Linked DNA regions of Daphnia pulex. The protein of the gene in region 1 purifies or fractionates together with the protein of each later gene. This does not show direct contact. Links are inferred from orthologs where the notes say so. Each region holds a gene or a part of one and is shown in the gene's direction. Other genes may lie near its edges.

What was found.
Region 2: the proteins of succinate--CoA ligase [GDP-forming] subunit beta, mitochondrial-like (region 1) and succinate--CoA ligase [ADP/GDP-forming] subunit alpha, mitochondrial-like fractionate together in Homo sapiens (co-fractionation; 6 studies listed by BioGRID and IntAct, counting the BioPlex papers as one, with this or other methods). This does not show direct contact. The link is inferred for Daphnia pulex from reciprocal best matches to the Homo sapiens genes SUCLG2 and SUCLG1.
Region 3: the proteins of succinate--CoA ligase [GDP-forming] subunit beta, mitochondrial-like (region 1) and succinate dehydrogenase [ubiquinone] flavoprotein subunit, mitochondrial-like fractionate together in Homo sapiens (co-fractionation; 3 studies listed by BioGRID, with this or other methods). This does not show direct contact. The link is inferred for Daphnia pulex from reciprocal best matches to the Homo sapiens genes SUCLG2 and SDHA.

What each region holds. Positions count from the first base shown.
Region 1 is NC_060028.1:10,150,059-10,155,495, forward strand, and holds succinate--CoA ligase [GDP-forming] subunit beta, mitochondrial-like, read left to right. Parts: upstream 1-2,024; 5' UTR 2,025-2,336; coding exon 2,337-2,396; intron 2,397-2,489; coding exon 2,490-2,628; intron 2,629-2,690; coding exon 2,691-2,790; intron 2,791-2,867; coding exon 2,868-3,020; intron 3,021-3,089; coding exon 3,090-3,312; intron 3,313-3,378; coding exon 3,379-3,595; intron 3,596-3,663; coding exon 3,664-3,798; intron 3,799-3,861; coding exon 3,862-3,990; intron 3,991-4,053; coding exon 4,054-4,160; 3' UTR 4,161-4,259; downstream 4,260-5,437. Other genes in the region: ATP-dependent RNA helicase DDX42-like, read left to right, coding at 5,143-5,437. UniProt on the Homo sapiens protein: GTP-specific succinyl-CoA synthetase functions in the citric acid cycle (TCA), coupling the hydrolysis of succinyl-CoA to the synthesis of GTP and thus represents the only step of substrate-level phosphorylation in the TCA.
Region 2 is NC_060023.1:1,594,389-1,599,417, reverse strand, and holds succinate--CoA ligase [ADP/GDP-forming] subunit alpha, mitochondrial-like, read left to right. Parts: upstream 1-1,696; 5' UTR 1,697-1,971; coding exon 1,972-2,008; intron 2,009-2,102; coding exon 2,103-2,332; intron 2,333-2,394; coding exon 2,395-2,616; intron 2,617-2,688; coding exon 2,689-2,793; intron 2,794-2,862; coding exon 2,863-3,042; intron 3,043-3,109; coding exon 3,110-3,244; intron 3,245-3,309; coding exon 3,310-3,384; 3' UTR 3,385-3,588; downstream 3,589-5,029. Other genes in the region: kinesin-like protein Klp61F, read right to left, coding at 38-230, 350-657, 759-837, 915-1,072, 1,146-1,446, 1,521-1,588; programmed cell death protein 4-like, read right to left, coding at 3,936-4,130, 4,200-4,533, 4,605-4,930, 5,024-5,029. UniProt on the Homo sapiens protein: Succinyl-CoA synthetase functions in the citric acid cycle (TCA), coupling the hydrolysis of succinyl-CoA to the synthesis of either ATP or GTP and thus represents the only step of substrate-level phosphorylation in the TCA.
Region 3 is NC_060026.1:13,764,428-13,769,969, forward strand, and holds succinate dehydrogenase [ubiquinone] flavoprotein subunit, mitochondrial-like, read left to right. Parts: upstream 1-1,870; 5' UTR 1,871-2,073; coding exon 2,074-2,130; intron 2,131-2,266; coding exon 2,267-2,353; intron 2,354-2,433; coding exon 2,434-2,476; intron 2,477-2,532; coding exon 2,533-2,808; intron 2,809-2,880; coding exon 2,881-2,974; intron 2,975-3,033; coding exon 3,034-3,365; intron 3,366-3,425; coding exon 3,426-3,594; intron 3,595-3,655; coding exon 3,656-3,851; intron 3,852-3,918; coding exon 3,919-4,116; intron 4,117-4,176; coding exon 4,177-4,713; 3' UTR 4,714-4,806; downstream 4,807-5,542. Other genes in the region: acetyl-coenzyme A synthetase 2-like, mitochondrial, read left to right, coding at 1-95, 159-362, 424-678, 738-920, 997-1,191. UniProt on the Homo sapiens protein: Flavoprotein (FP) subunit of succinate dehydrogenase (SDH) that is involved in complex II of the mitochondrial electron transport chain and is responsible for transferring electrons from succinate to ubiquinone (coenzyme Q).

The sequences.
Region 1 (5,437 bases):
CTCTTGCGCAGAGGTATAAAATATAGAACAGTTCTCGATGTAAATCTTCGTTCTCAGCAACAGCTGATGTTTGGTCGATGACGATTTGGCAGTCTGGTGGTAGGATAAACCAGCCAGCTGCAGCAGAAAAAAACAGTCCTTCTTGGAATTCAAATGTATTCAAACGACTGTTGAAAAAGTAGCGCTTGCGGAAATAAGAAAGACATTTATTATTGTGTGCAGCACCACCAGCCATTGGCGGTTTTTTCGAATCGATCGGCTTTCGGCGCTCGCTGCACTTTTTTTCCTTTTTACACGCCAGCATCATATCCGCAAGACATTTTAACCAAGTCCAATCGGGTACTCAACGATTGTCGTAGTATATATATAGAGAATGTACAATCACAAAACCAGACCGTCAATAATACCACTCCATTTCCTACATCTTCTTTTCTTTCTTTCTTCTTTTGTGCGTATAGATCCCAGGACGATATGTTCATGATGAAGCCTCATACATACATTTGTTTTGTTATTTCTGCTTACCAAATACGATAGAGTTAAGTAGATGTATATACTGGCAGTGTTGGAATATCTACCACGATTCAACACCAATATAAAACAAGATAAAACCCGTCCCTCCATCTTTTTTTTGAAACGAAACTGTCAAGTTCGCTGGGTCTGTCGGGGGAGAGATAAATAGCCTATCTATAGGTTCCCATCAGAGCTGTTTGACAATCATCACTGGTATAGATCTCTCTCTTAAATATATGCCATCACCCCAATTACCATATAGACAGTTGCTCCGCTTTGGAATCCGTAATTAGCTTAAGTATGTGCCAGCCTATGATGCAAGAACCGTTGTGACAGACGACCGGGTTCTCCAGTTTACACACACAACCCAATACCGTATTTCCTCGTCGTCTATATCTCACAGGCTGCGTATTGACTGTAATATTAGAATGACGTGCTTTTAAAAAGGCAGCTCTTATTATGTTAAGCAGTGCGAGCAGTTCACGAATCACAATTGGACGCTTAAAGACTCGGGATTCAAATATATGCTTCGCGATTCAATTTCTCGAAAGGGAGTAAACATTATTTATTTATTTTTTAAAAAGAGAGTCAATCAATATTCAACAAGGTATTCAGCAGCAATAACGTTGGTTTCCGGTGACATTACTGATGCTGATTTATGCCGGATATATATAGAGAGATAGATATCTATTCATGAGAGCTTGTGCCGACGCGAACATTTAAATTCCCTCTCGATTTCCAATGGAAATCGATAGTTTACTTATAGAATTCAAAATTCGATCCAATAATACGCATGCATATTGCATACCCCGGAGCATTTTCGTAACGGGGTTAATTGTCAATTGTATTTTCTTTTTTTCCTGATGGATATCCTGACAATGAATGTCAACTGCTTACTTTTTTCTTTCTATCTATCTATCCTTTTCGTCTGAAAAGCCGTAGAGATATGAGAAATGCTTCTCTTTGTTTCATTTGTGTCATTCCGCAATAGGCCTGTGTAGCACATAGTCCGCATACCGTTCGTTTATATATATATAGGTCGCATTAATAGTCGCCATCAATCGCAAAACTGAGATTGAGAGAAAGAATGGGTTTCTATTTACAGAGCACTAACTTTTCCATAACCCGGTACTCATAAAATGCTATGGCCGGAGGAGAAGAGGAGCTTTTCCACTTGCAATAAGTTCGCACGAGTAGCAACTCTCGGAGAGAAAAAAAAAAACAGATAAATCGGCAAAGACAATCGAATTTTAACCCAAAGAACAGGAAAAACGAAAGGAAATCCAATAAGGCAATATAATTGCTTTGTTATATTGTCGTTCACCAAGAGACCACCGCATGCGATTTTCATATATGATCTAAGCAGGTTGGGTTGTAATCCAATGCGCTCTTATCTTCGTAATTTTGTTTTTAATTGCTTTTTTGTGGTTTTGTTACATCTTTTAACTGCACAGTGCTCTCTGGTGGAGAAGCAAAGAAACTTTTTCTGATATCTACGCAGTTTTATGTTTTTATCCTGTCGTAAATGTCCCTTTCTTTCAAATCTAAATAAAAAATTACAGTATAGACAATAGAGCAGGATTTACTACATAAGAATTTATAGTAATTTAAAAATTAGAGACTATATCAAACAAGGTTGCACGTTATCTCGATTCGTATACAATTGAGCACGAACACCAAACCTTATTTGACAAATTGATGATCCAAGTGTCGTCTGCTGCAGACTGCAGAGCTGACTGCAGCAATATATTTGTATTCCAACCGTCCTCCACGATTCCCTCATTTTTTTTTACACGTTCGTCCTCAGGAATTAAGTAATATACGCCATGGCATTTCAAATTTCCAATATCAGGAATGTTTTGCGCTTGGGAAAACACGTGCACACCGTAAGTCAAATTTCTTTCTCCTATACTGTGTACCAATCTAGTTTTCTATGATTGTTTTTACCTGTGAGTAATTTGGTTCTCTTGATAATTTAGAAATGGAATATTCAGTCAGTTAGGCACTTGAACTTGCTTGAATATCAAAGCAAATCTCTTTTAGAGAAGTATAATGTGACGGTGCAAAAATTCATAGTTGCAGACAAGATTGAAGACACCAATTCCCTGTCTAAGCTTAGTAAGTTATCATTGGTTAAATATTGTTATGGATTTGTTAAAAATTTGTAATATTCTATTTAGATCCTGGAGAATATGTTGTTAAAGCACAAATTTTAGCTGGAGGACGTGGTTTAGGTGTCTTTGATTCAGGCTTTAAAGGAGGTGTCCACCTTACCAAAGAGTATAAAACAAACTTAACTTAATTATTTCCTCCTTCTCCTTTTACCTATTAAACCAAGCATATTTATTATTTTGCAGTCCAGTAAAAGCCAAAAGTCTTGTTGGTGAAATGTTGAACAAAAGGCTCATTACTAAGCAGACACCTAAAGATGGCATTCCTGTGAATCATGTGATGGTAGCAGAATCAGTTGACATTTTAAGAGAAACCTACCTTTGCATTCTCATGGACAGGTAAATGCAATATAGCTCTTTTTATTGATCAATCAAGGTGATTAACATTTTGCTTTTGTTAATTTATAGAGAATACAATGGACCAGTTATCATTGCCAGTCCTGCTGGTGGAATGGATATAGAAGATGTGGCCCATAAAACTCCTGAACTGATTAAGACTCTACCAGTTGATATTTTTGAAGGGGTCACTGATCAAATGGCAAATGACCTTGCAGAATTTCTTCTTTTCAAAGGGGAATTGAAAAAGAAAGCTGCTCAGGAAATCAAAAACTTGTGGGAAATGTTTCTCAAGGTGGATACATATAGGTGTATTCATTCAAATGAGCTAAAAATAACCCAATTGTTTGTGCTGTTATAGGTGGATGCTGTGCAAGTTGAAATCAATCCCTTCGTTGAAACCCCGCAAGGACAAGTAGTTAGTGTTGACGCCAAGATCGGTTTCGACGACAATGCAAAGTTTCGCCAGCAGGAAATCTTTAACATGGAGGACACAACGGAATGTGATCCTAGGGAAGTAGAAGCCAATAAATATAACTTAAACTACATTGGAATGGATGGAAATATTGGTTGCTTGGGTAAGATAAAAATAAATACATACACCTGCTCGGTTGTTTACTATTATCCATTCTGTAATGGATCACAGTTAATGGGGCTGGACTCGCCATGGCGACGATGGACATTATTCAACTTTATGGAGCTTCTCCTGCAAACTTTCTTGATGTTGGAGGCACTGTTCAAGAACAGCAAGTCCTCCAAGCATTCCAAATCCTCACCTCTGGTACATATAGTTTGAATCGTGTTTACTCGTTAAATTATAATTTTGTTGTTTTTTGTTTTACAGATAAAAATGTCAAAGCTATTCTTGTAAACGTGTTTGGAGGTATTGTCAACTGTGCAACCATCGCATCAGGAATTGTCGGTGCTTGTAAACGCATTGAGTTGAAAGTTCCACTTATCGTTAGACTTGAAGGTAACATTTTTAAGGTATTTTTTTCTCCATTATTAATTAATAACTCAACAAACTTTGTTACAGGAACCAATGTTGATGCAGCAAAGCAGATCCTTAAAGATTCAGGACTTCCAATTCAAAGTGCAAGTGACCTTGATGATGCTGCTAAAAAAGCAGTAGCAAGCATCTAATCCTTAACTGGGATTCTTGTGTATATCTAACCCTTAGATTTATGGACCAAAAAACTGTAGCTATGATTTAAAATAAAAATAAAGGTGGTGCAATATTGATTGGGTACATTTTGCAGAAAAATCAATGTTGTATTTCTTTTTCACTTTATTTACATCACATTTACACTTCTTTGTCATTACAATTTTCCTTTATTTCATGTTGTTTTGAGCTTTTTCTAGCTCATGAAGAAGATCATAAAACTGTTTAAGAGATAATTCCATCACCGTTGTTTCTAATGATGATCCAGTATTTAGCTTCATTTTGATTCTGACATATGTTTGACCTACTTGTTCCTCACAGCTAGAAGCAGCAGTCACTGTAGGGGGAAGACAAATACTGAGAAAAATCAAACTTTGCAAAGTAGTTTTTAAATGTTTACCTCCGAGTTCCCACGCCAAATCAACCAACTGGAAATTCTTCGTCATTTCAATTTTTCATACACTTGTCTATAGGTACCAAACAGGCAATATGATGAGAAAGTCGAGTTTTTCTACAAATATCCTGTAAGTTTATTCTGACAAGTTTTTTATATTTGTGAGATTGTGACATTCGGTGACATTTGCCTGTCTGCTTATCAGCAGTAGTCTGCTCTTGCTGCATTGCCGTCGCATTCAATTAAACATTTAAAAAAAGTACGATTTGCTAATTTCTCGGAAACAATGCATAAACTATATAGCTTAATTATACGGTAGTATTTTTGTTGAAAAATTTAGCTTCTTTAATTTTAAATTTATAAACTTCCAAGACAGAAACTTTTTTGAGCTAGGACTCCTAGGAGTTTGGACAGAGCGGAGTTTGAACTAAAATAGTTCATACGTCTGCCGGTAGTTGTTCCAACTGTATCACAACAAGCAAACACAAGCTCAAAAAGAATTGAACAGGGCTAACTTATTGCGAGTTTGATGAGAGAAACTAAGTACAGTTTTTCAGTTCTAAACAAAAATGAATTCAGGACGTGGTGGTAGTCGATTTTCTGGTTTCAGTGTAGGTCCAAGACCTAGACCGAATGTAAACAAATCTAGTGGCAGTCTTCATGCAGTTCCCCCGCCACCGTCGATGCAAAGACCAGGCAATGCAAACACTATACCTCTAGCCCCAAGATTTTCTCGTCCCGGTTTACCTGGTAGTAGCAGTTTTTCCAGTTCTAACCGATTTCATCCTGCACCTGGGGCTGGTCCCATCAGTGTTGAGATTGTATCACCAGTGTCAGTTAGTAAGCAGGGCTATAGTACTCTAA
Region 2 (5,029 bases), on another chromosome or scaffold:
ATAGGATTCCGCGCACTCTCAAGTATGCGATGATTACCTTGAGTAGGGCCTTTTTCGTGAGCTTCTGATTGACCTCGGGTCGGTTGGTGATGTTCTTGGCTCGGTGGGCGTAGTCGAGGGTTGATAGAGTCTCCTCCAGGTTGGCGGCCGCTGGCGAGATGGTAGCGATGATAGACGTTTTAGTTCGGCCGCCCAGAGAGTCCTGAAGCAAGCGTGTCAGTTTCGATTCTCTAAATGATTCCAAGAGAAGAGAGAAACATTTCCATTTTAACGTTATTAACGCGTTGAATGACGCATCCATTTTTGTGGCTGTTGGGCGCGGTTGAATCATTTCGTTTAAATTATATACCTGTATGGGATGTGTGGAGCACGCTCGACGAGGGAAGTGATAACACGACCAAGTGTCAGCAACGATTGATTGATATTGCCAGCTTCACGAGCTCGGCGTTCAACGGCCCCAGAACGACCAATGTTCTCACTCCCGGCCAAATCGACCAGGTTCAGTTTGCCAATCTTCATAAGCTCCTCGCCGTCGTCGGTGTTCTCCTTGATGTGAACAGTGATGGAGAAGATGGTATGCGAGCGACTCGAATGGGCATTCATTAGCGTGGCTGCTGTTTGACGCTTGAGCGAGCCTTTAGCCAAAATACTGTAAACCTGTAAGATAAATAACCATGAAATAAGAGATGGTAAACAAAGGACTTAACGCAGCCTTAAAATGTTGGAATGGAAGACAATAGAAATCAGGAAAAACTCACTTCATTTTTGTTGTGCACAGTTACCTCCTCCATGCCTTGGATAATGACTGAGCCCTTCTTGGTTGTGTCATCATACAAGCTTTAACAAATTGAAAGACAAATGTGTTTTTACTAAACGGTCACAAAATTGTTAAAATAATGTAATGAATGACTCACCGAAGTTTGGTAGTGTCATCAGTTCCAGACAGCAAATCGTAGATGTCTTCATTATAAATTTCAATAAATGAAACACGAACTGTACACTCAACTTCTTGAATCCTCAATTCATCAAACAGATGTGACAGCGTTCTAGGAATGATTCCAGAATAAGGGTCCTAAAAGAGTTAACAAACCAAAATTAAAAACAAAGTCTTAACCATGAACAAGTTCTGTTTTCGAAAAACTTACATTTTCCCATGAAGATGACAATTCGTCATGCCTTTCACCCTCCATGGTGAAAGTTTTGCCTGTCCCCGTCTGCCCATATGCAAATACAGTGCAGTTATAGCCTGCCAGCACTTCGTCCACCAATGGAGCGGCAACAACTTTATAGACATCCACTTGCTTTGAATTGCTCCCAAAGACCCGATCAAAGCTGAAAGATTTTGTAAGCGAACTCTTCTCAACCACCTGCACTTCTTTATTGTTGCCAGCTTGAGTTTCAACCACAATGGGTGAACGGGCTGCTTTCTCTTGCGAGCTAACAGGCCTAGGAAATTTCCACAAAAAAAATAACGTTATGTTGAGTTGCAAAAAGACAGTTAGAAAAATAAACGCCCTTACCGAATTCGGACGAAGACTTGGATATTTTGATTTTTATCTCTCATTTCTCTGCGTTTCACTTCGCTCATAATCTGAGCACTACCCTTGCAATTTTAATTAAAATCGAACAAAGACTATGGCGCACTTTATGCAACGGTCATCTAATCGAGGTGACTGAGAGTAAAATTAGGAGGGAGTTCCGGCAGCAGAAAGCAAAAAGCCAGTTAGGTTTGAGAGTTTGAAAGCGAGCTAGACGTTGCCATTTTGTCAAATCCGATCGTTCAAACTATTTTTTGTTGAAAAAACTCAAATTATTATTAAATTAATAAAGAATTCAGTTTTAAATAAACTGAAATAAAAGTGTATAATTAATTACTAATGTAAAATGTGGTATTTTCATTAAAAAATTTACAATGTTGCTTTCATTACTAAACTTGTGTTGACTGTGATCCCACACCAAAATTCACGAAACATGGCCGCTGCTGCTCGAGTTTTATCCCCTTTCTTGGGTAATTAAATATTTTGATTTTAAATGTTTGGTTGATTATTTTTAAGGTATGTGTCTATGGTTCATTTCATTCTAAACCATTATTGTCATTATAGTATCTGTGAGGCCACCAAATGTCGGTGTCAGGTGGTGCTATTCGTCAACTAGACATCAAATGAAATTGACCAAATCAACCCGAGTCCTTTGCCAGGGATTCACGGGAAAACAAGGAACCTTTCACAGCAAGCAGGCCATTGACTATGGTACCAACATGGTTGGTGGAGTTTCCCCAGGAAAGGGAGGCAAAATCCATCTTGGTGTACCCGTTTTCAACACCGTTCTAGAAGTAAATCTCAATCCTTCATTCCAACAAATTATAAAATGGCTAAAAGTTTTAAATCTAAACAGGCTAAAGAAGCAGTGCAACCAGATGCTACAGTCATCTATGTGCCTCCTCCTGGAGCAGCAAAAGCAATCATGGAGGCCATGGATGCTGAAATTCCTTTAATTGTCTGCATCACAGAAGGCATCCCCCAACAAGACATGGTTAAGGTCAAGCATCGCCTTATGAGGCAAAACAAGTCCCGTTTGATTGGTCCCAATTGTCCTGGAATTATTGCTCCTGGCAAGGTAATATATCTGTTAACCTTGTTTCATACACTAAACTTATGCTACAACTATTTATTAACAACCAAACTTTAGTGCAAGATTGGTATCATGCCTGGTCACATCCACCAACAAGGATGTGTTGGCATCGTTTCACGTTCAGGCACTTTGACCTACGAGGCTGTTCATCAAACTACTCAGGTAAATTGCACCATTTTCCTATTCATCCAATTGTTTGTTACTAATGGACTTGTCTCGTTCAACTCACAGGTGGGTCTAGGTCAAACTCTCTGCGTTGGTATTGGTGGTGATCCTTTCAACGGCACCAATTTCATTGACTGTTTGGAAGTGTTTCTTAATGACCCAGAAACCAAGGGAATTATTCTTATCGGCGAGATTGGTGGTGGAGCTGAAGAACGAGCTGCCGAGTACCTGACTCAACACAATTCGGTATACTTACGATCTGTTTACTCCCAAATGAACGAATTCCTTACACAATTTTATTCTATTTTTGCAGGGTGACAACAGGAAACCAGTAGTGTCATTTATTGCTGGCTTGACAGCTCCTCCCGGCCGACGCATGGGTCACGCTGGTGCCATTATTTCTGGTGGCAAAGGCGGTGCTCAAGATAAGATTATGGCTCTTGAACGAGTAAGTTAACAAAATTTAACGCCAAGAGTAGATATGTTAAAACTTCTAAATTTGTAACTTGACAGGCTGGTGTTGTTGTTACTCGAAGTCCAGCTCAGTTGGGCACAACATTGATGAAGGAGATGGTCGGCAAAGTTTGAAAACTTATAACCAACCCAGGGCAATCAAATTAGGTGTGGTTTGATGATTATATAAAGAAATATTAGCCATCTTTGTAAACTAATAAAAAAGATTAGAGAAAAAAACTTCCCGCGGTTTGTACAATTTTATTAAAGTTCTTCTCTTATTTCCAACAAAAACAGGTGTTGAGAGAAAAATACAAAAATCAATTTGAAAGATCAAAACATCTGGTTTATTTAACTTCCAAACCTTTACATGTAATCTTTGAGTAAATAAAAAAAAAAGGAGAAACATTCCATTAATTCTTTTCTTACCAGGATTTGACACCCGAAAAGAGAAAAGTTGAGAGGGAAAAACAAAAATTTTGGAGAACGGTGTCTTTTAGGGTGAGGGTCGTAACAAGAGTGAGAGGGAGGTGGTGGGTTTATGTAGTAACCAAATCATTTCGGTTATTGTATATCTTCTTAAAACACTCAACACTTGACACACAGATTCTCTTTTTCTCTTCATTCTGGATTTGGTTTTTTGGTGGAACCGAACGACAAAAAAAGACTTGATAATTTGCATATTTTTAGTCTTTGAAGCGGCCACCATCACCTTCGGAGACGAAACGCTTGCGTCCCCTAGCGGCATTGCACTTTTGCAACATGGCTTCGTCAATCAGTCCGGCAGTTTTACACTTACCGCCCAATCGTTCCAGGTACAATGCCGCATTTGGTACGTCCAGGCAAATGTCGTCCAGATCATCCAAGACGCGATAAATTCCCTAAATAAAACCACATTCAAATATTAGCATTTGTTGATATGAAAATGAGCAGGAAAGTAGTAAAATTACATTTTTCATCTGATCCGGAGTAACGATAGTGCTGTCGTAAAAGGATTTGAGCAGTTTAACCATGGAATTCTCCGTTTCTTCGTTGGCAGCCTCCAGTGCGAGCACGACGGCTTCGTAGACGAGTTCGTGATGGAAATGGGGCACTTCCAATTCTTTGAGGCATCGGGCCGCCTCCAGTGTATCGTCGGATGATAAATACTCTTGCAACAAGAGTCCCATGGAACGGACCAATGATGCCACTGGGCGCAGGCCTCCACCTACACCCCAGACATTGTCCAAACGAGTCATTCCATGCTTCATTGAAAGCAAAACGTCCGCTCTGGCCAGAGCAAGCCTAACAATGCAATTCAATTGTTTTAAGTTTAAACTCTTTAATGCAATCGAATGGGCAAATGAATTTCTTACTTGGCCAGATCGCATTCGACTTTGCCTTGATAATTCTGCAGGAAACGGGGAGCCAGCGTGTCGTCGGCAACGGAGCGGGCGATGTAATTGCCCAGGATAGTGGGCGCATCTGGAGTGTCTAGAACGAGATCGGGCAAATTGCGCAGCAATTGATCCAGCGCTTTCTCCATCTCCCGCTCGGTCAAGTAATGCTGGTAGAGATCGGAGAGCAGGACGGATGTCATTTCACGATTGGACGGCTTGTGGTCCATCGCCAACTCGATGGCAACCACGGCAATCAGGTAGCGATTTTCACCGAAATTGTAGTCTTCCAAAGCCAACGCCACCTAGCGACCAAAATAAAAGTTACCAAGGGAAAACAGCGAACACGTTGTGTCAGCTGAGAGGAACTTGTTATCCAATCGCAAACAAACACAAACCTCTTT
Region 3 (5,542 bases), on another chromosome or scaffold:
ATGCAGCTCCTACGGCCATTCGATTATTATTGAAATACGGTGACGAACATGTCGAAAAGTATGATCTCAGCTCCCTTCGCACTCTAGGCTCTGTGGTATGATTGTAAATTAAGTGTCTAATTAAACGTGATCACGGTTCAACGTTATTTTCTTCCCAGGGTGAACCCATCAATGTGGAGGCTTGGCACTGGTACAACAAAGTTGTGGGCAAAGAGAAATGCGTGGTTGTGGACACTTGGTGGCAAACGGAAACGGGAGGCATTTGCATCAGTCCAACACCCTCGGCTCCTGGATCAGAAATTCGTCCCGGTATGCCGATGAGACCGATGTACGGAATCTGGCCTGCTATTCTAGGAGAAAAGGTAATGTCTAATATTTATTTATTTTCCAAATTCATCCTGATTGGAAATCTGTTCTGCAAAGGGGGAGGAGTTGTTAGGCAATGATGTAACAGGTGCCTTGTGTTTGAAAAAGCCTTGGCCGGGAATGGCACGCACCATTTATGGAACCCACAGCCGCTTCCTGGAAACTTATTATCGACCTTTTAATGGCTTCTATTTTACCGGTGATGGTGCTGTTCGACACAGTGATGGCTACTATCAGATAACGGGAAGAATGGATGACGTTATCAACGTTACTGGACATCGACTCGGTACTGCCGAGGTGGAAAATGCCCTGGTATTACAACAAATATTTTAAATTAAAAGAACTCGGATGACAGTTTTTCGTTCCAACAGGGTCAACATCCGTCTGTAGCAGAGTCAGCCGTTGTGGGGTATCCTTGTAGTGACAAGGGCGAAGGCATTTACGCTTACGTCACTCTTAAGGACGGATTCGTCGCTGATGCCAAGATAGAAGCTGAATTAAGAGGAATTGTCCGGCAGAAAATTGCTGCCTATGCGATTCCGGATGTAATACAGGTATAATAATAAAATGGCAGGAAAATTTCTTAATCATAATGCTAATGTTGGTTCTCGACGTGGTACATTTCAATAGATCTGCCCTAGTTTGCCCAAGACGCGATCCGGCAAGATTATGCGACGAATATTACGTAAAGTTGCGGCGGATGAGACCGACAATCTGGGTGATATTTCAACGTTGGCTGATCCTGCTGTTGTCGAGGATCTTGTCTCTCGCCATCGAACCTTAAAATCAAATCACCTGAATAAAGCTAGGACTAGTAAATTGTAGTGTAATGATTTTGACATTTCATAACGTCAAATGGCATCGACTCTTTCGTCCGTTATACAGTTGACTAAACATCATCGCCATCGAACCCTGAAGATTCAAGGGAATTAGGTCAAATTTAGTCCTTGGAATTATTGACACCTCACGTTTAAATCACCAGCATTAACTAATTTTATGTTGACTCACTCTTTCGACATTCTTCTGTTACTTCTAAACGAAAGCGGATTTCCATAACTGAATGGTTTGAGCTTTTTTCTGACTTCGCCTTCTGCTGCCTTATAGTTGTAAAAATAATTACAAAAGTACAAATAAAAACAACTAAGCCTATGATTTCATATGGTGCTGAAATGTAAGACAATCGCAATGAAATACACTGCCATCTTTAAGAGATTGTGTCGCTTTACTTTCATGATAATCAAAGGATTGTCCCAATAACGAATATCGTGAGCGGTATTTTGCATTCACGACGTCAAGTTCTGATTGGGCTCTAGCTAGTTTACTAGCTAGCTGATAAGTGGCTAACAATATTTGTTTGTTATGCTAGTTAAAACTTAAATTCAAAATATAGGATATTGATTAAAAATCCAAGTCCAAGTACCCGAAATTTTGAGTTTCTATTTTAGGGTAATTTCATTTGACTCATTTCTCTTTACTCAAGTGAAAATATTTTGAATTTTGGGTATTTCTGTTTATCCCATGTTTGTCCTTTGGATCTTCTATTATTATCCGCTTGGAGCGCTAGCTCTACACCGTGCATGATTTTCTATTCATTTCCTTACGTAACTTTTACACGACGTTGTCCGGTCAATTTGGCTATCCAAAAAGTTAGTCAAAAACGCAGTTCTCGTCATCGAAAGAGGTTCAATTTTACCTCTCACTTAAACCATGGCTAACATTTTGAAGCTCTCACTGGAATTGGCTGGAAAGGTGTCCTCTCCTTTGGTGAGTGTCGAAAATATCAACGTCGATAAAACTTAGTTAAACTTTAAAATTTATCAAGATTAGTGTATTATTATGATATTCACCCAAGATATTGACCAAATAACTAATTGAGATGTTACCAAAATGGAATTTGTAGCTTAATGCAAGGCCAGCTGTGATTGGTAACCGTAATTTCCACTTCACCATTGATGGACGCAAGGATTCTAATGTTGGAACAAGCCAGGTTAGTTGTAAAATTTTATTGGTAGACCCATCAGATAGAGAAAAATTAACCCTTTCTATTTGCTGTTGGCTTGTAATCAGATTTCCCGAGACTATCCAGTTGTTGATCACACCTATGATGCAGGTATTTTGATTACATAACAGTTAAACAAAAATTGGTATTAATTGTTTGTTTTATAGTTGTTGTTGGTGCTGGTGGTGCTGGACTTCGTGCAGCTTTTGGCTTGGTTGAAAAAGGATTCAAAACAGCTGTGATCACAAAGCTGTTTCCCACCCGATCACACACTGTTGCTGCCCAAGGTGGAATTAATGCAGCTCTGGGAAATATGGAAAAAGATGACTGGAAGTGGCACATGTATGACACTGTTAAAGGCTCAGATTGGCTTGGAGATCAAGACGCTATCCATTACATGACCAAAGAAGCTCCTCACGCAGTTATTGAGTTGGAGAACTATGGTATGTCCCACTTATCAATAATTTCTTCTACAGCAGACAATTGATCATATTTCCCCTTCGCATATCATTAAGGTATGCCTTTTAGCCGCACCCAAGACGGCAAAATCTACCAGAGGGCTTTTGGTGGACAGTCCTACAATTATGGCAAAGGTGGACAAGCTCACAGGTATACCTAAATTATTAAAACTTCAAGGCAGAAATTAAAAATCCTTAATTATTAACTAGATGTTGCTGCGTTGCTGATCGTACTGGCCATTCTCTTCTTCACACCTTGTACGGCCAGTCTCTTCGCTACGATTGCAATTACTTCGTCGAATATTTTGCTTTGGATCTGTTGATGGAGGAAGGCGAATGCCGCGGCGTGATCGCTCTTTGTTTGGAGGACGGATCCATCCATCGTTTCAGATCCAAGAACACTGTTCTCGCTACCGGTGGATATGGTCGAACCTTCTTTTCATGTACTTCTGCTCACACTTGCACTGGTGACGGTAACGCCATGGTGTCTCGTGCTGGACTTCCTCTTCAAGATTTGGAGTTCGTTCAGTTCCATCCTACTGGTAAAGGAATTGCAAATTAGCCTATTAGATCGTTTGGACTAAATTTGACCATAACAATAGGAATTTACGGAGCTGGATGTCTCATTACCGAGGGTTGCCGTGGAGAAGGTGGTTACCTTATCAACAGCGAAGGCGAACGATTTATGGAAAGATACGCTCCAGTGGCTAAGGATTTGGCCTCACGTGACGTCGTATCTCGTGCTATGACTATTGAAATCCGTGAAGGACGGTAATATCTTTGCCAAATCAAAGAAATGTATAATTATGCTCAAACTTTGATGCTCTTGTAGCGGTTGTGGCCCCGAGAAGGATCATGTATACCTTCAACTTCATCATCTTCCTCCACAACAGTTGGCTGAACGCCTTCCTGGTATTTCTGAAACGGCCATGATTTTTGCCGGCGTTGACGTCACTCGTGAGCCGATCCCAGTGTTGCCTACCGTCCATTACAACATGGGTGGCGTTCCCACGAACTTCAAGGGCCAGGTAACATCGCTTATCATCTTGTTTGCAAATGAAACGACTCCTGAAATAATTTTATTTTCATCCCCAGGTTATTACGCACAAAGATGGAGCTGATGTTATTGTACCTGGTTTGTACGCTGCTGGAGAAGCTGCCTGCGCATCCGTGCACGGTGCTAACCGCCTGGGTGCCAATTCTTTGCTCGATTTGGTCGTTTTCGGCCGAGCATGTGCCCTAACTATTGCCGAAGAGAACAAGCCATCCGAAACTATCGGAAAATTGAGTCCGGTAATATTCGTTTATTTGATTTTCTATGATTTTGTGTTGTTCAATCATTTGTCTTGATAGAACGCTGGCGAAAGTTCCGTGGCGAATTTGGACAAGCTTCGTTTTGCCAATGGTAGTGTCACCACGGCCGAACTTCGTGGCAAGATGCAGAAAACTATGCAGAATCACGCAGCCGTCTTCCGTACTGGAGACGTTTTGGTAGAGGGATGTAAGAAGATGTCTGATCTTTGGCCATCATTGCACGACATCAAGGTGGCCGATCGCGGCCTAGTCTGGAATTCTGATTTGGTTGAGACCCTTGAGCTCCAGAACCTCATGTTGAACGGCATTCAGACCATCTACAGTGCCGAAGCCAGGAAAGAATCTCGCGGTGCCCATGCCCGCGAAGATTTCAAAGACCGTGTCGACGAGTACGACTTCAAGAAGCCGATGGAAGGTCAACAGAAGCAACCTCTAGAGCAGCACTGGCGCAAGCACACACTCTCCTGGTGTGATCAGGAGAAAGGAGATGTCACTTTGCAATACCGCCCCGTCATCGATGAAACGCTAGACGAGAAAGAGTGTGCGACGGTTCCCCCCGCATTGCGCGTGTATTAAAATACAACTAATAAATTCCTGTATCTATCGCCGTGTTCCGATTGTAGCCACTGAAAATAGACTAATACATTTTACTGAGGTGTTCTTGACAAATTTTTTCATGCAATTTTTGTAAATTTAGGTTGGGAAAATTCTGAAAGGTGAAGTAATTAGATTTTATTGTTTTGAATCATTTACATCTAAGTAACTTTTGATCCTTGAGTTTCTTTTCTCTTTTTTAGAATTCTCCGTCCGCTATCGACCTATACTACCTCACCAAGGCCACGTCAAAGTAATTTGATCTCTTGGTCTTTTCAAGTTGCCCGAGGGATGGAGTACTTAGCTGAAAAAAAGGTAAAAGACACCAGGGTTTTTTTCTTCCTTAATCAGCATTCATTAATTATGATTTCAGAACATTTTATTATTGCTCTTAACAGGTTCTTCACGGTGATTTGGCCGCCCGAATGTTTTGTTAGCTGACAATGGAGTGGCTAAAGTAGCCGATTTCGGAATGGCTCGTAAAATGTATTACGATGAAAGTTACGAAAAGGAAGAGGTGGATGGACTAATTTCTTCAGTGCACTTGATCCTGGTAGCCAAACAATGTTCTGCTCAACAGATCCGTTTAATTCCGGATATTCCAGAACAAGTGCTGGTTGCTGTAGGTTTCAACATCACCCCCAATATGTATTATGTAACCACAGGAAAACAAAGATCTGAGGTTCTTTCAACTATCGAAAATGAAAAATGCCTAAGGCTTTGAAAGAATTACCTTATATGGTTATCATAGGGGTTAAAATCGTTTCCGAGAAAGGAGAAAGCCTCCGCAGCTCCCCCTGCTTCAATGTTG